2 linked regions of the Drosophila melanogaster genome follow. The protein of the gene in region 1 interacts with the protein of each later gene in a pairwise test. Each region holds a gene or a part of one and is shown on either strand. Other genes may lie near its edges.

What was found. The genes of interacting proteins can lie anywhere in the genome.
Region 2: the proteins of CG10799 (region 1) and CG1640 interact in a two-hybrid assay, tested with the Drosophila melanogaster proteins (one large-scale study listed by BioGRID).

Annotation. Positions count from the first base shown.
Region 1 is NT_033778.4:13,253,513-13,261,231, forward strand, and holds CG10799 (uncharacterized protein), read left to right. Parts: upstream 1-4,373; 5' UTR 4,374-4,438; coding exon 4,439-4,939; 3' UTR 4,940-4,965; downstream 4,966-7,719. Other genes in the region: CG4714 (uncharacterized protein), read right to left, coding at 1-713; CG4716 (uncharacterized protein), read left to right, coding at 3,171-3,842; CG42319 (uncharacterized protein), read left to right, coding at 7,176-7,382.
Region 2 is NC_004354.4:13,366,362-13,373,605, reverse strand, and holds the start of CG1640 (uncharacterized protein), read right to left. Parts: upstream 3,001-7,244; 5' UTR 2,820-3,000; coding exon 2,804-2,819; intron 2,612-2,803; exon of another isoform or gene 2,080-2,611; intron 1-2,079. Other genes in the region: dmrt11E (doublesex-Mab related 11E), read right to left, coding at 3,273-3,607, 4,366-5,113, 5,356-5,406.

The sequences.
Region 1 (7,719 bases):
ACAATGCTTATGCCAGTCAAACTAACCGAATAATCAATGTCCTCATACTTCACATCCGATTGGAATATGTTTCTATCAGCGGGGCCATCTGAGAAGCCATAGGTGGGGAATAGGCTGACCAATTTGGGTGGATGGAATGGATAGTCTTCTGAGTCGTCGGTGAGAACTGACGAGGACACAGACTCCCCGTCTCCAATGGTGGGCTCATCAAAGGTGACTACCTGTTCCTGCTCTTCTTCCTCTACCTCATTATCCCTGATCTCTTCCATATATTCCGGTGTAAAATGAACTGGGCTCTCGATTGCTGTCGGTGCAAAGCGAGTGGTTGCGAAATTCTTCAAACGCTCCTTTCGCTCCTTCTTCAGCTTCAGTTTCTTTTCTTCTGGCGATAGTTCATCTGATGCTTCCGTTTGCTGCACTTCATTACCAAGCTCAGTTGCTTCGATAGCTACGTGTTCGGTGGTTTCCGCTTCCTGTCCCTCCTCCGTCGCCACCTGGGCGGTAATTGCGCCAGATTCGATCTGTGGCTTCTCCTCCCGCGGCTCATCGCCAGCTGGTTGGTTGCCCTCCTCTGGCTTGGAGATCACTTCGGGCTCAGCTGTTGATTCTGGTGGCACAACCACTGGAACAGTGTCTACCTCGGATTTTTCACCTGCCTCGATGGCCTCCACCACGTGCAAGACTTCTTCCGTAGAGGCATGATTCTGGGACATTTTTGGTGTTAATGTGTGTGTGTGTTTTGTTTTTTTTTTGGTGTTTTTGTTGTTTTTAAATGTTTTTATTATTTTATATTTTTTTGTGTGTGTTTATTTTGTGTTACCTGTGGGTGTGTTGTGTTTTTGAGTTTCTATCTTATTGTGACAAATAACTCAAGCTAAATAATAGGTAATAAAAAGTTTATGTCAATATGGATTAATTAAAATTTAAATATATAAATAATAAATACATATATCCAATACTTTTTGCAAAGCTCTTGCAGTACAAGTTATAAATGAACGCATTTGATTTAAAGAAAAACTGGTATACTTTTAGGCTTGACATACTAATACTATATCCATTTAGATTAAACGTTCTTAAGCAATAAACAAAATGAATTTAAATGATATGAACTTGTGTAAACAGATTCTTTAGTCTTAATAAGAAGGCGATTTTTTATTTTTAAGAACTACAGCTCCATTACCGAACTTTGTGTGGAATTAAGGCGAAACTGCCGGACTTTAAGCACCATCTGGGGTCCAATTGGAGGACCTAAGTAAATCTTGCGAGGGCTTTAAAGTTGATTGATCGTTGCCCATTGTGTGCGTGTGTTCTTGGAATTTTTTTTGTCCGGGTGCGGTAAACTTTATGACATTGATAAATTTTTAATAAATATGACAAAATGTCGGCGCTTTAATTCACTGCCATTTTGGGCAGCGGCACCTGGTGCCTGGAGCAAGGATTTACATAAAAGTGCTGCAGTGCTGAAGAGTATAATTTGCATGGGAAGCACTGCAGCACGTGGAATGGATTTCGGGTCTTAATACTTTCCGTTTGATTGTCTGGGCGTGGAAATTGATTCAGCACAATGCCAAATTGCTTTAAATTATGCATGAGCCTGCGACTTTGCTCCACCCAATCCACTGCTTTCCCTTTGATGTTGCGGAGGACATCTGGGAATCATATTCAATAAGTTGGATCCGCAGTAAGAGGGCAAATAACTTTTTTTATGACAGACGCAATGGGCCAATCCCCTTTGATGGCTGTTAAATAAATTTGTTTTCGATGTTATTTAAGACGCTGCCATTGCCGCGCCTTCAGGTGAATAATAGCCAACTTTCTGATGGATATTTAATAGTCGGGTAAACACCGGTGACACTATAATTGCCCCTACTGGGCACTCATCAGTGGACACATGTGACCTACCGGTGGACGCACTTCCCAGTCGTCTCACGTCTTCTTCGGCGAAACCGAAAGGGAATCCTTTTGCTATTTATCATTCAGTCCGAAACTTTTCGGGAATCCTTTCACTTTTTTTTTTTGTTTGCTTATCTGTCTTAAGTGGCATTTTTGGCTTAGGCGTCTACAGTATCTGTCGGATACTTAGGAGAACTCTTGAACTTGACTTTCCCTCCACGAAACGCTTCAATTACGCTGGCACGTTGCGCCGGCAAAATTGTAATTTACGAGTGTTTCTCTACACAGCGCGGGAAAAGATAGTCTTTTGGATACACAAATCGAACAGATTAAAAAATGATAAACAATTTTATGGTAAAAGTTTTCGTTTTACTTACTTTTACTTATATGAAAAGAAGAAATAGGCAAGCGCTTAACTTTCGGATTTTTTGATTTAATGGAGCTCTTTGGAATTCATTTTTTCATTAATAAATTTAATTTTATATTTTTTCCCAGAAATTATATATACATATATATGCTGTTTAGATTAGAAGTTCAATTTATGTGGGTCGTTCTTTAAAAACAAATATGGATTTCACTGAAAAGCATTAAAAGATTAGATGAGTTAACATATATATTATATATATATTTAATTAAGGAATTTATCTATAAAACAAAATTGTAAAGCTAATAAAAAAATATTATGTATTCAACAAGATTTTGAGTGTTTAAATTTGTTTTAAAATAATTCTGAATACAAAAATATTACCTGTGACTGGTAAATTTACATTTTTTGCTTGCTGTGTACTCGGATTATACTTATACATTTTTGCTCATCTGTTTTGAAGTAGCATCAATAATTACAAATTGCGCGTCGGGATGATCTGTAGTGATCCGTGGGCTTATCAGGCCTGACTTTGGCAGCTCGATAGTGCATCGCGTTCCACAGCCTCTCAATTTGTTGTCATGAATTATGCAAGTGAGTCTGGATTTCTGGACTCGCAATTGGCGCAAACTCGGAAATTGCGCAGTGCCGCGGAAACTGAAAATGGGAGAGAGTGTTATGTGCAATCTATATGAAATATATGTATTTATACATTCGCATTTGATGGAAGCTTTAATTACGGTTGCACCCGTAATCTGAAAATCTGGACAGAAACGAACTTTTGAGGTTTCTTGGCAAATCTTTGCCATCGGTCGTAGTCAGTTTGCAAAATAAGGTCTTGGCGCAAAGTGTGCCTAGAGGAGCACAGGAGAGTTTACATACCTTAAAAGGTTATACCACAAGGACTAGATCAATGCAGCGATCACTGTTACTACTGGCCGTGTCAGCCATCCTTTTCTGTGCTGCAGTGGCTCTGCCCTCAAGACTAACCAAATCCGAGGAGGATTGGCTGGAGCAGATGCTGACGCTGAGCGAAGACAGCGGTGAACTGCAGGACCTGGACGAGAGCACCGGAATCCATATTATCAAACGATCTGCCAAGGATGCCAGCAGCTCATCTGAGGAGCATAATGACAAAGCCAAAGACAAGGCCAAGAACAAGGCGGACAGCTCCGGCGATTCCTCCTCCGAGGAAAAGACAACACCAGCTGCGGTAGAAGAAACAACTACGGAGCACACTGCTAGGAAACGCAGAAGCACGGAGGATACGATGGTGCGATCCTTTTGCCAGTCACTGAAAGAATTCGATATTAAGAATTTCAATCTACAATCTGCATATGACCGGGCCGTAAGCTTTTGTAAGCAAAGGGAGTCTAGACGAAGACGCCAGGCTGCCGATCAGAAATCCAGCGATGCGCCGGACCTGGATGCCCAGGCTGAGAAGGAACTGGACGAGCAGATGGCGCAGGCTGTGGCGGAGCTTTTGAAGGACAAGGACAACACCAGCATCGAAGACTACGCCCAGGGATGCGAGGTCATGGAGGTTAGCTCCAAAGAGGCCAACGAGGCCACCTATGCCGAATGATTTTGAATAAACATAAATAACATTATAGCTTATGTTTTCGTAGCCATATTACATTTTTACTATTATTATAATGACTGAGTCATCAAAACAAGAGATTAGGCTATTGCCTATGTATTATTTACTTTTTAACTTATGGGGTGTGTTTATTCAAGTTTACGAGTAACACGTATAAATATCAGCAACAAGAAATATTTTCCTCTTCTAATAATTAATTTTGCCATATTATTTAACTATTACAATTTTCATTACTTGAAATGCATTTGGAAATTAGCTCACCTAACATTGAAACTTAGCTTATTTAATTGTGTAAGTCAAATTATGCATTACGTGTCTGTTTTAAGGGACTAAGTGCGTCTGTTTCAATCTACATGCATTATAAAGAGTCATTTCTGAAACCCACTATCTGCCTGACTCAATTGAATTTGAGTCTATAATCACATAATCGCCGAGGAGGCGATAGCACATTTGTTGAGGCTTCGCCGGTAACGTGTGCAGCTGTCCAGAATCAGTTCGAAAAAATCAGTCTCAGCGAGAAGAACCCACCCATCAAGCTAGTGGAATAGTGGAGTTTACCAGGATATACAAAGATTACCGGGATGCGTCGATCTGTTTTGCTGTTCCTAATCTCCGCCATTGTGCTGAGCGCGGCACTTCCTTTGCCCCCAATTTGGGAGGACTCCGAATCGGATTCCGAGTATAATGATTATAGTGAGCTATCGAAGCAGCAGAATCTGAAGAGCAGTATCGAGAAAACTATCAGCAAGCGAGCTACCAAGGACACTAGTAACAGCACGGAAGATGATGAGCTCACGGATGGTAGCAATGAGAATGTTAACGATAAAATGGACAGCTCAATGGAATCGTCTTCTATGCTGATCATGGCATCCGAGGAAGAATCGGAGTCCGCTGTCAGAAGGCGCAGGTCTGGTGAGAGGAACAGGAATATAGGGCTCCTGGCCACGATTTGCCCAAATGCTGATTTCAGAGATTTGGAGAACGGTATTACCCTAGATTCTAGAATTGAAATAAGGGATATGTATGCGATTTGTAAAACTCTACCAGAGTCCGGTCGTCTACAGCAATACAACCGTTCATAAATTAAATAAAAGCAAAGAAGAATTCTAAAAATTTAAAAATTCTTCTGAAATTTGTTTCCCTCAGTCATGAAACCCCTGTCTCATTAGTCATCTACCTCATTATCAGTAAAAACCATCCTTATCACGACAGCAGTCGTCAAAGTTGTCTGACCTCAGAGCAAAAATGTCAGTTTCATGTTTGTTTACGCTTTTGAATTTATGATTTACTCATGAGAACTAAAAAAAGGTCTGCATTCTTGAAGTGATTTTAGAACGCTTTGGTAACCAATATCTTGTTAATAAGGATTTAGAAATATAAAATTTTTTTTTGTAATATTACCAACAAAATCTTTTGGAGAATTTCGATCGATACTTATAACCAACTTTGAAACTTCTCTTTGAAACTGAAGCTAGGGTATCTGTTAGTCGAGGAAATTGACCACAGCATGTTCTTTAGTTTCCGTACGAAAAACTATGCATATATGCTAAACGAATTGTTTTTTTTTGTTTTCTGAAGTCTTTTTTGTGATTCGTGTCATCTGCATTTTGCGCCCTTTCCGACGTTTGGGATATTGAAAAATTTTCTCGAAAAAATCGCCTACGGTTTTCTCCCTTTGTTTGTCACCATTTGTTGTTGTTGCAGCTTTGCGGCTGATAAGGCACGTTTTGTTCACTCTTTTATGGCCACGTCAAAGAAATGTGTACGAACTATTCCTTAAACATGCATATCACACACATGAGCATATCCACATTTGTAGTATTTCCTGTGCTAATCGAAATTTCGTTGTCAGGTGTGTGCCACTTTTTTGGGGCCTTTCTCCGAAAATTTCCCACACATGGAACTCTGATTTCCATTGTTGTTTATTTGACAAGTCGAATTCTTTGCCTGTGAGCTTGGCACGTTCAAGTTATTTATTCTGCTTTAAACTTGGCAGTTGACGTGCATCACAAAGATGTTGGGTATGGACATGAACTGCGCAAAGGCTTTAAAATATGATTTTATGGTAGAGGTAAATTAAATTAACCATTTCTTAGTTGATAATAATTGGGATGTTACTCGTGAATTAATTACTTTATTCGTTTAAAAGTATATAACACGTAAGGGAAAGCGTTTCCGAAACTACATAGTATACATATTCTTGATCAGGATCACTAGCATATCCGGACATGTCCGTATGTCCATCTGTCTGTCCGCATGAACGCTATGATCTCGGGAACTATAAAAGCTTGAATTTTCAAATTGGTATTTGAGTAGTGATTTTATAAATAAATTTATAAGGTATCATCTGTTACTTTCATCTCCAGTTCCTTTTCTTGATTGAATATAAAACTAGCTTGCATGCGTAGCTTTAATTAATACTCGTTGTTGAGCAATGAATAATAACTTAATAACAGTGGAAAGAGAAAAAACAGCTGATGCTTTGACTATGAATACCAAATGCACTTGTGAATTTAAACTTGTATATTTGAGAAGATCTTTAATCAAAAGCAAAAAACGCTTCGACTTGGCAAAAAAAAAAAGCAACAAAGAATGCAACAGTTTTGCATCGTCACATTATCTAAAAAAAAAAAGGAAAAACAGACCACGAGGAGCAGAGGAAAAGCGCGAGAGAGAATGGGGAAAATAGAAAAAATGCAGCCACAAAGGAAAACTTCTCGAAAATTATTTTAGTTGCCCAAGTCGAGTGCAGTCGTGTGGAAGTGAAAGAGAAGCCACAAAATACAATAAAAAAAAAAGAAAAACAAAAGAACCAGGCAGCAGGCATAAAAAAAGCGTTAAATACACTTTCCATAATTATCCCTCATAGTCGTGCTTATTCTTGGTTATTCAACAATTTCGGAGTTTCCGTACTTTTCGCCACTTTGCGGGCCAAGATCCAATGAGATTGGGGTTGTGCAATGCGTGACTGCTGATTATATAAGTCGCACAATTACCCAAAGTTCAGGCATTCAACTAGTTCCTTCACTTTCAATAGAAAGTTCGAAAGTAAGCGAGTTTCAGGTTGTGTTGAAAAGCCGGCAAAAGTCGAGTAATATTTTTGCACAGGCGGAATTTTGACAGGCAAACGCAAACAAGCAATCGGAAAAAAGAGCAACTAAAACTTTCGCAGCGCTAAAAAAAAGAGCAATATAAAAGTGGAAAGGTAGAATAGAAAAGCAAGAGTGCCGCCGGCAAGAGTGCGAATTTATAAATAAAACCAGCGGATAGCAGGAAGAGATCCGGTATCTCTTCGCCAGAGAACGGGTAAACAAAGCGATGCCGGAACAACTGGGTCTGCTATGGTCCGTGCCGGAGTCCAAGTCAAAGGCGCCCATCATCAAGGTGTCCTGCGGCATCGGCGATACGGACGGCTATCCCGCCTTCGATGTCGACTCCGATGCGTATGCCACCAAGGACGACAGCCGGTGGGGATTCCTCATAACCGGCGGAGCCGAGTTCCATATGCCGCTGACAGTCTTCCAGGTGAGTTGCGTGGTTAAGCTTGAGGTCGGCATGGGGGTGGTTCACCCTTGGGAACGGGACCATCTGGTGCCTGGCCAAGAATTATATTGATACAGTCAATCTCGGGCCATTGGAAATTTTAGCTAAGGCACTTAAGCTGAACTGGATAACCGGAAACCACCAGGAAAGGGAAAAATACAATAGAAATTTGCAATATAAACCAATTCCTCATTTCACTTCAAACTTATTAAAGTTACACCGCATGAAGATAATTTATAACATGGTTGATAACTAGTGGTATTAAATAGTATGCGTTTGCTTAGTGGTGTTTATTTCAAGTTAAAAAATGATTTAGATA
Region 2 (7,244 bases), on another chromosome or scaffold:
CTAGGAAAACTTAAGCAACTATAGATATTTCGATGTGAAATATATATCATATTATATTAAGCATTTTTATATGGTATTGTTAGCACGCGCTCAATATAATATTCAAGTACCTAAATACATTTTCTTCACTGTGCATTTTTGTATCTTATCAAAGACAAGGCGTGGTATCATTTACTTTTTCAGAGCTTATCAATGTGATTGCTTGTGGTTCGATACTTTATTGCCTTTCTGTTTATCAAGAAGCTAAAGTGTAAATATTTACGACCTTTGGAAACTTTGCAATTAAATTCGCCGTGCATTTATCCTAGACTCAAACCCAATTGCACTCGCCGCAAGGCGCGCATTTCAAAACTGCAATCGAGCATTTCTTATCAGAGTTTTGGGGCTTTGCACAAGCAACTGCAAAGCTGAAAAATATATATTTTATTTGAGGAGGAATATATATTTTTGGAAAATATAAAAACGGTTACCGGCTGAATAAAATGAATGGCCATAAAGCCTAATCTCAAGAACATTTATTGCTTGACCATCCAGAAAATTTAATTAAAAATGGGACCGTTTAGAATCTACTTGTGTGTGCTGCTATATATTTCACTATATTTCTTATCTTGGTGGAACTTTTTTTTTAGAGGCAGTTAACGGATTTGTGGGCCATTTACCCAGGCATTATGTATACATATGTATGATTTAATAGCTATATTTCTCCATTAAATCCACTGGCAGGGCATCCATTGGTGGGGGCCACTATCAGTTGAGCGTACTTTTGACTTTGAGCCAAATCGGCGCAGCTTATCAGTGACGTCCCATTCGCAGCTTACGATTCCCTGTCTTTCAATTGAATATATGTATATAGCTTTTCTGATTTCTGCACTTTGAAACGCCAATTGCGTAATGCAAAAAATGAGCAAACGAACAAAGAATCTTTTAGAAACATGACAATGACCAAAGATCGACATTACCTCCAAAATACTATACTTTTCGCACTCAAAAATCAGCATCAATCAGCCGCAGATTGTTTGCTTTCTTTTTAGCGACAGCGAATTTATTTGTTTTTAAATTAAAAATGTACTAAATGCCGGTCCCGAAAAATACACAAATGTATGCTATTTTATATACGCACATATGTATCTTTGGAATATATGAATGTATGTGTATATATATAGGTATATTGTTTAGACGAGACAAACTGAAACTTGTTGGCAATAACTTTTTGGAAAACCGGTTGCGGTTTTGATGGCATTGATATAGACGAAAGGGTTAAGAATTAGGGGAAAGGGGTAAGAATTTGGGAATGAGAAAACATCGATACAGTGATCTCTGCTTAATTAAGACAAATTCAATACGATGCCGATATATAGATATAGATAGATATAAAATAATATATCCAATAGAATTTTTATATGATAACCATCTAAAGCAGCTGTGCATAGAACTTTTGCGTATTAATTTAAGAAACATTACCTCCAAATATTTATTTTAAATAAATTTTTCAAATTTTAACATTTTTTTTTTTTTGAGACAACTTTTGTTAGTCACTGTTTATCTGCGATATATATATATGCAGCGTATCGCTTTTGTTTGTGATTGTTTTGACAACAAAACTGGCTTATGCAACGAACTGTTAAAAAAAAATCTGAAACAGAAAATTATGTGAACTGGCTGCACTTTGCTTCAAAGACCCCGCTCCCCCCTGCACTTTCACCCCCCGCATTGGGGGGATTATCAGACAAACCAACTGGATAAGATAGTAACGATAAGGAATCCAATTAGAACACGGCCATTCGGATTTACTAAAATCACAACTTTTGCCAAACGTTAGTAAATTATATTAAATTATATTGTAACTCCGATTGACACGTAGAGCGCAACGAACAACAGCAACACAAAAAGAAGCAGAAATAACGGGTAAAGGGGGTGTTTTGATGTGCTAATTGGGTTGCTAAACAGCTGTTGACGCCGCACAAATTGAGCACAAAAAAAAAAACAATAACACGGCACGCAATTCAATTAGGGAAACGCACGCAGAACGATAAACAAAATCAGGGTACTATTGTGTATTAGATTTTTTTTTGGGCGCACAAATCACTTTCACTGTCACTTCCTCGCTGCTCCCAATTAGAATTTCTCGGCCACTGTGTTTATATATATGTACATATATGCACATGCATATATACATATATACGTCGGCAGTTCAAGAGCAAAAAATCGATTTTTCGCTGCACTTTTTAGTCGTTTCACCTTGATGGGCGCAAGTGGGCGTGGCGATTATCTAACGGCGTTTGTTGTGATCCCAAGAACTTGCATAAACTTATTAATAAACGCGATATGTCTGTATATAAAATACCTAATAAAAACGTGTGTGCTTGCTTGGCTGCGTGTGTGTGCGCGTACGTGTGTGTGTGTGTGCGAATATGTGCGGCGTGCGAGCTCCAATCAGAATCGTATCAAAAATTCAAAGCTCTTTGGCCGCTAGACGCAATTAAGGAACTGACAACAAGAACTGAAACCGCACCGAGATGGAAAATGAAGTGCTGGCAGTATTTACCGACTATATGTTTTTCTTGCGGGCAAAAGTCACGATGAAGCGGGCAGCGATTAAGTTTTAAAAATATCACGTCTGCAGCCCTCGCAGCCAAACTTTCGATAGACGGCGATAGATCGATAGACCAGCGATTTGCACCAACACTGGAAAGCTCAGAGCATTCAAAAACAAACTAATGTGTTTTATAAATAGCTCTTTTTAAATATCGATTAATTGCGATCTTAACTAACTTTCGTTTATTTCTATTAATTATGAACTTACTTCTGTTTTTAAACATCTTTGCTCTTTGCTTGTTTTTCGTGTAAGGCTTTAAATTCACTTAAACAATTTTGCTGGCTTTGTGCGCATCTTCATATATCACTGAAATTGATTGTTATAGGAGTGTCCCATTGAATTAGTTTTGTGTCGATTCAATCCTGGCCCGAAAATGTATGAACAAGCTATGCCCTACATTTTACCCATAGTCTACTTAGGTTTGTTTATATAGTATTCTTTTCAAGTTCGTTATGATAGCTCTTAGAAAATAAGATTTCTGTGAATATCTCCTCCGTATAAAAGAATTTTTATCAATAGTTTGGTAAGCTTTTTTTTCTCTTCTACAAAACCTTTTCGCATGTTTTATTTCACTCGAAACTTATTGCTATTCAAAAAAATGGGTTTTCTAACGCTAGAATTATGTACAGAGTGCATTTGGAAAAAATGATGGGTAGTAAGCCCTAGAAAGCCATGGCTACGTGCTGATGCCCATGATGGATTCGATGGAGAAACTCAGCTTGGGCTTCTTGCCACTGCCGGTGGAGGCAGTGGTGACTGCGGGCGTGGTCATCGCTGGATTTGTGGGCGGGATCGTTAGCGGTATCGTCGGCGGCATCGGGTGATAAATGTGCTGCTCCTGATGAACGGGTGCGCAGGCGGCGGCGGCGGCGGCAACGGTGGCAAAGTACAAAGCGTTACCGCCCAGCGTCGCCTCCATGACATGGTTCAGTTCCGGATCGGCGAATGCCCGCCGTTTGCGCATGCGCTCCATCAATGGCGAGCTGAACGTGGGAAATCGCTGTTTGTATTCTGAAAGAGAACGAACCAAAAGGAATGGTTGAAATTAGTGAGGGTTTTGGTGGGGGCGTTATCACTACAAATTGCCGCGATTCGTTATGAATGGGTATTCCAAATTGAAACAATTTATTATTGGGTAATCCGAGACACGCGTCGCCTGACCAGACAGCCTGGCACCGTTTTTTTTTTTTTGTTTTTTTGTTTCAACTTCGGACCGGTTTCGGGATCTCCACTTATTCGGATGGAACCAGATGGAAAACCCAGAAAGAAGTCAATTGCTGTTGCCACATTTGGCTCTTTTTGTGAGTCGGATGGGTTTTTCCGTTTTTGGTCGCGTCTCAGCTTACCGAATGTGACTCCCCTCAAGTGATTGGAAAATGTGCGTACACTGCACACACACATTTCGAAGCATCCGATTTCAATTGTTTTTCGTCAGTCGAATAATTGCTGTTGTTATTGTTGGGCATCAGTCATTTCCTGTCCACGACCACGACCACGTCCATGGACAGAGGAAAAGAGACGGAAGATGGGCGGCGGGAGACAGGAGACTGGAGACCGGAGAGGATCTCCGATTACGAACGGACCAGACAGTCTGGCACCGTATGGGAAAGCGTGTGAGTAGGGAATGTACTTATCATTTCAGCTGTGTCGTCTACTTTACGACATCTAATAATTTCCAAATTGGAAAGTGTCTATTTGATTGCGGACTCATAGATAGATATCCTTTTTGATATGTACATAAATCCTTATTTATGTAGTCCCATACTAACCTTCCATGGCGGCTGTGATATGCAATGTGGATTGCTGCAAACTGCGTAGTCTCTGCTTGTAGATCCTCTTTTGGGCCATCAGAGCCTGTCGGGTGGCCGAGGATGAAGATGAGTTGCTAACGCAAGATGTGGGATGCGAATGCGAATGTGGATGTGAATGTGCCGGCGGTGGTGAAGTGGAGCTGAGGGAGTCCTCGCCCTCGCTGCTGCTGGAGTTGTTGGCACTGGCCGTTGTTACGCCCGTGGATTTTGTAGATGATGCGGTGGCCTCCAGAGCCTCCATGGTTTGCTGACGTCGCAGGGCCACCTGGGCGGCCATCACCCGCTGGCGATCGACGACCAGTTGGCAATTGGGGCAGCAGCATTCGCGCCAACGGCACAGACGCTTGTGACCCTTGACACAGGAGATGACGCCGTGATTGCGACACCTGGCGCACTTCGGCGTCCGCAGGAGACGTCGCTCCCGCTGGCAAATCCTAACACTGGCGTCCTTGCTCATCCTCGCTTGCTGATCGACTAAAAGGATGTGGAACGGGGCGCGAACATTTAAGCACTGGCAACCGCAGCTACTTGTCGCCGTCAGACTGTCTGGCAGCGTCAAGTGGTTTCCGTCGTCGTCGTCGTCGTTGTGTCCCCAGGGTATCCGACGCCCACGAGGTGTACTAGCATGAGGTACAACACAGCGAGCATGCAAGGGATCGGACTCGGGATCGGTTCCTTGCCTGCCATTGGCTGCTAATCGCTGGCTCTAAATATAGAAGATCCAATGGCCGCACAGATGTCTCGCATCAGCATGCAAAAGATACATTCGACTACAGGAGGAACTCATTGAAAGCGATTTCAAAGATTAGTAATATATACATATATAGCATATATATATAGGTTATGGATCACTTGCTTAATCAATTACTTGGGGCATCTTAAAGAATTTAAGAAGGTAAAAGTATCTGTGAATCTTCTATGGTTCTTTATAGGCATGTTTCACTATACCTTTCCAATCCGTACATCTTTGTTTGGACTCCGTGTTTCGTCAAAGTGCATATTGATTTCTGGCCTGTCTTCGTTTAATATCTTTATTCGTTTATTTGAGTCAATTTCGGTTTACGTGTATAACAATTTGTAGCATTCATTATCTTATATAGCACGTACACACATATATATATATGTATATATATATTTCCGTATAAATACAAATTCAACTCGAGTTTAGCCATATCGTTTCATTAGCTAATAGTACGTAAAAAAAAGAAAAAAAAATTCTCAGCGATTTATATACTAGAAGTTTTTAGGTGAAAGGACTTTCCATTTAATGCCTTTTAAATGCCTTCTTTATATATTTTTTGTGTAAATATATACATATATGCTTATATATACGGTGCAGCGCGTTTCACAAGTAACAATCTTTTAAATTTCGGAACAAATGATGGCCAACTGTTGGCGATTGTCAAATAATTTCGAATTCAGCCAGCTGTTTTTAATTAGGATATGTAATCGAACTTACCGCAAAAAGTTGTCAAATGGGAAATTGTGTTCTTCGAACCGAATGAATAAATGCTATTATCTCACTTCATACAATTGTGAAACGCACTGTCCCTCTGCATACATATATGTATTTTATATCCATTTAGTAAGTGTGATTCAAAAACGTTACTGAGTTCTATTAGAGGATTACATTGATTAAAGCTTGAGCTAGAAATGTGCCAGGTTTTCGATTCGATTGGTTGGTTGGTCAAAATGCAGGTGCGACTAGGAAAGTACTATTCGTGTATTCGAGTGCGTTCTATTATGGTCTCAGGATCATATACATTATGATCATCATATATTATAAGGTTGTAGCGGACAATCGGTTCATGTTAAAACGGGACCAACAACGAACTTTTGTTTAATGTTTGGTAATTATAATTACTTGTGTTTAACATGGAATCATATGGTAAATGCTTGCAAAGTTATTGTCCTTTACTGTTTAAAAAACGTTCTCTAAATTGAAATCTATGTGTGTATTAACGGTGCGTGTATATATATAACATTCGCTTAAAAAAGTTTTGATCCTTGAACCAACTAAATCTAAATTACAAAACACGCGGCCCTACAAAAAATTTGAACGAACACAAATCACAAAAGTACAAACATTACATATGGTACCTATATATCATCAATAATATTATTAGTATTATTATTAATATTTTATATCGACTATGGATTGTAGCTATCGTAAATACTTTGATTTCCTTCGATACGATTCTCCGCTCTTGACACAGACGCACTCTGAATTCACTTCGTTTGCTATTATATCATATCACAATGCTTAAAGGGCTCGCCGCTTCTCGATTCTCGATTATCGATTATCGGTTATCGAGTTTTGTTCTCGATTTCGATTTGGGCTTCAAATTCAACAACGTTTGATTGCCAAACGACGATCTATCTATAGAGTTCTAATATAACAGGCTCACTGGTCGCTAGGCTAAACCATACAGCTCGCGAAATAATTGTATTTCCATTGGCTTTATCAATGCTATCATTATTGATTTTACTCCATTACGATCTCTATCTATCAGTTTTCATTGGATTTACCCAACGAGAATGGAACTTAAAGTGGGAAATTTGAGCTGCCAAGTGGCAGATGATTTGAAATGGTAAAATAATATGAGAGCTCTGAAATGTAGCCAAGTAAGATAAACAGGCCCTTTTTGGGACACACATCTACAAATGTTCTGTTTCCATAAACAAGAATGGAAATAAATATGCTATATAGAAATAATATCTAATAGATAGATAATGCCAGTTTATGCAATTATTTCGCTCGCTGTATGCGACAAATTTCAACAAGTGTGTGGACTCTTTTGTTTTCGTTTTTCAGATCGAGGTTGCATCATCATATA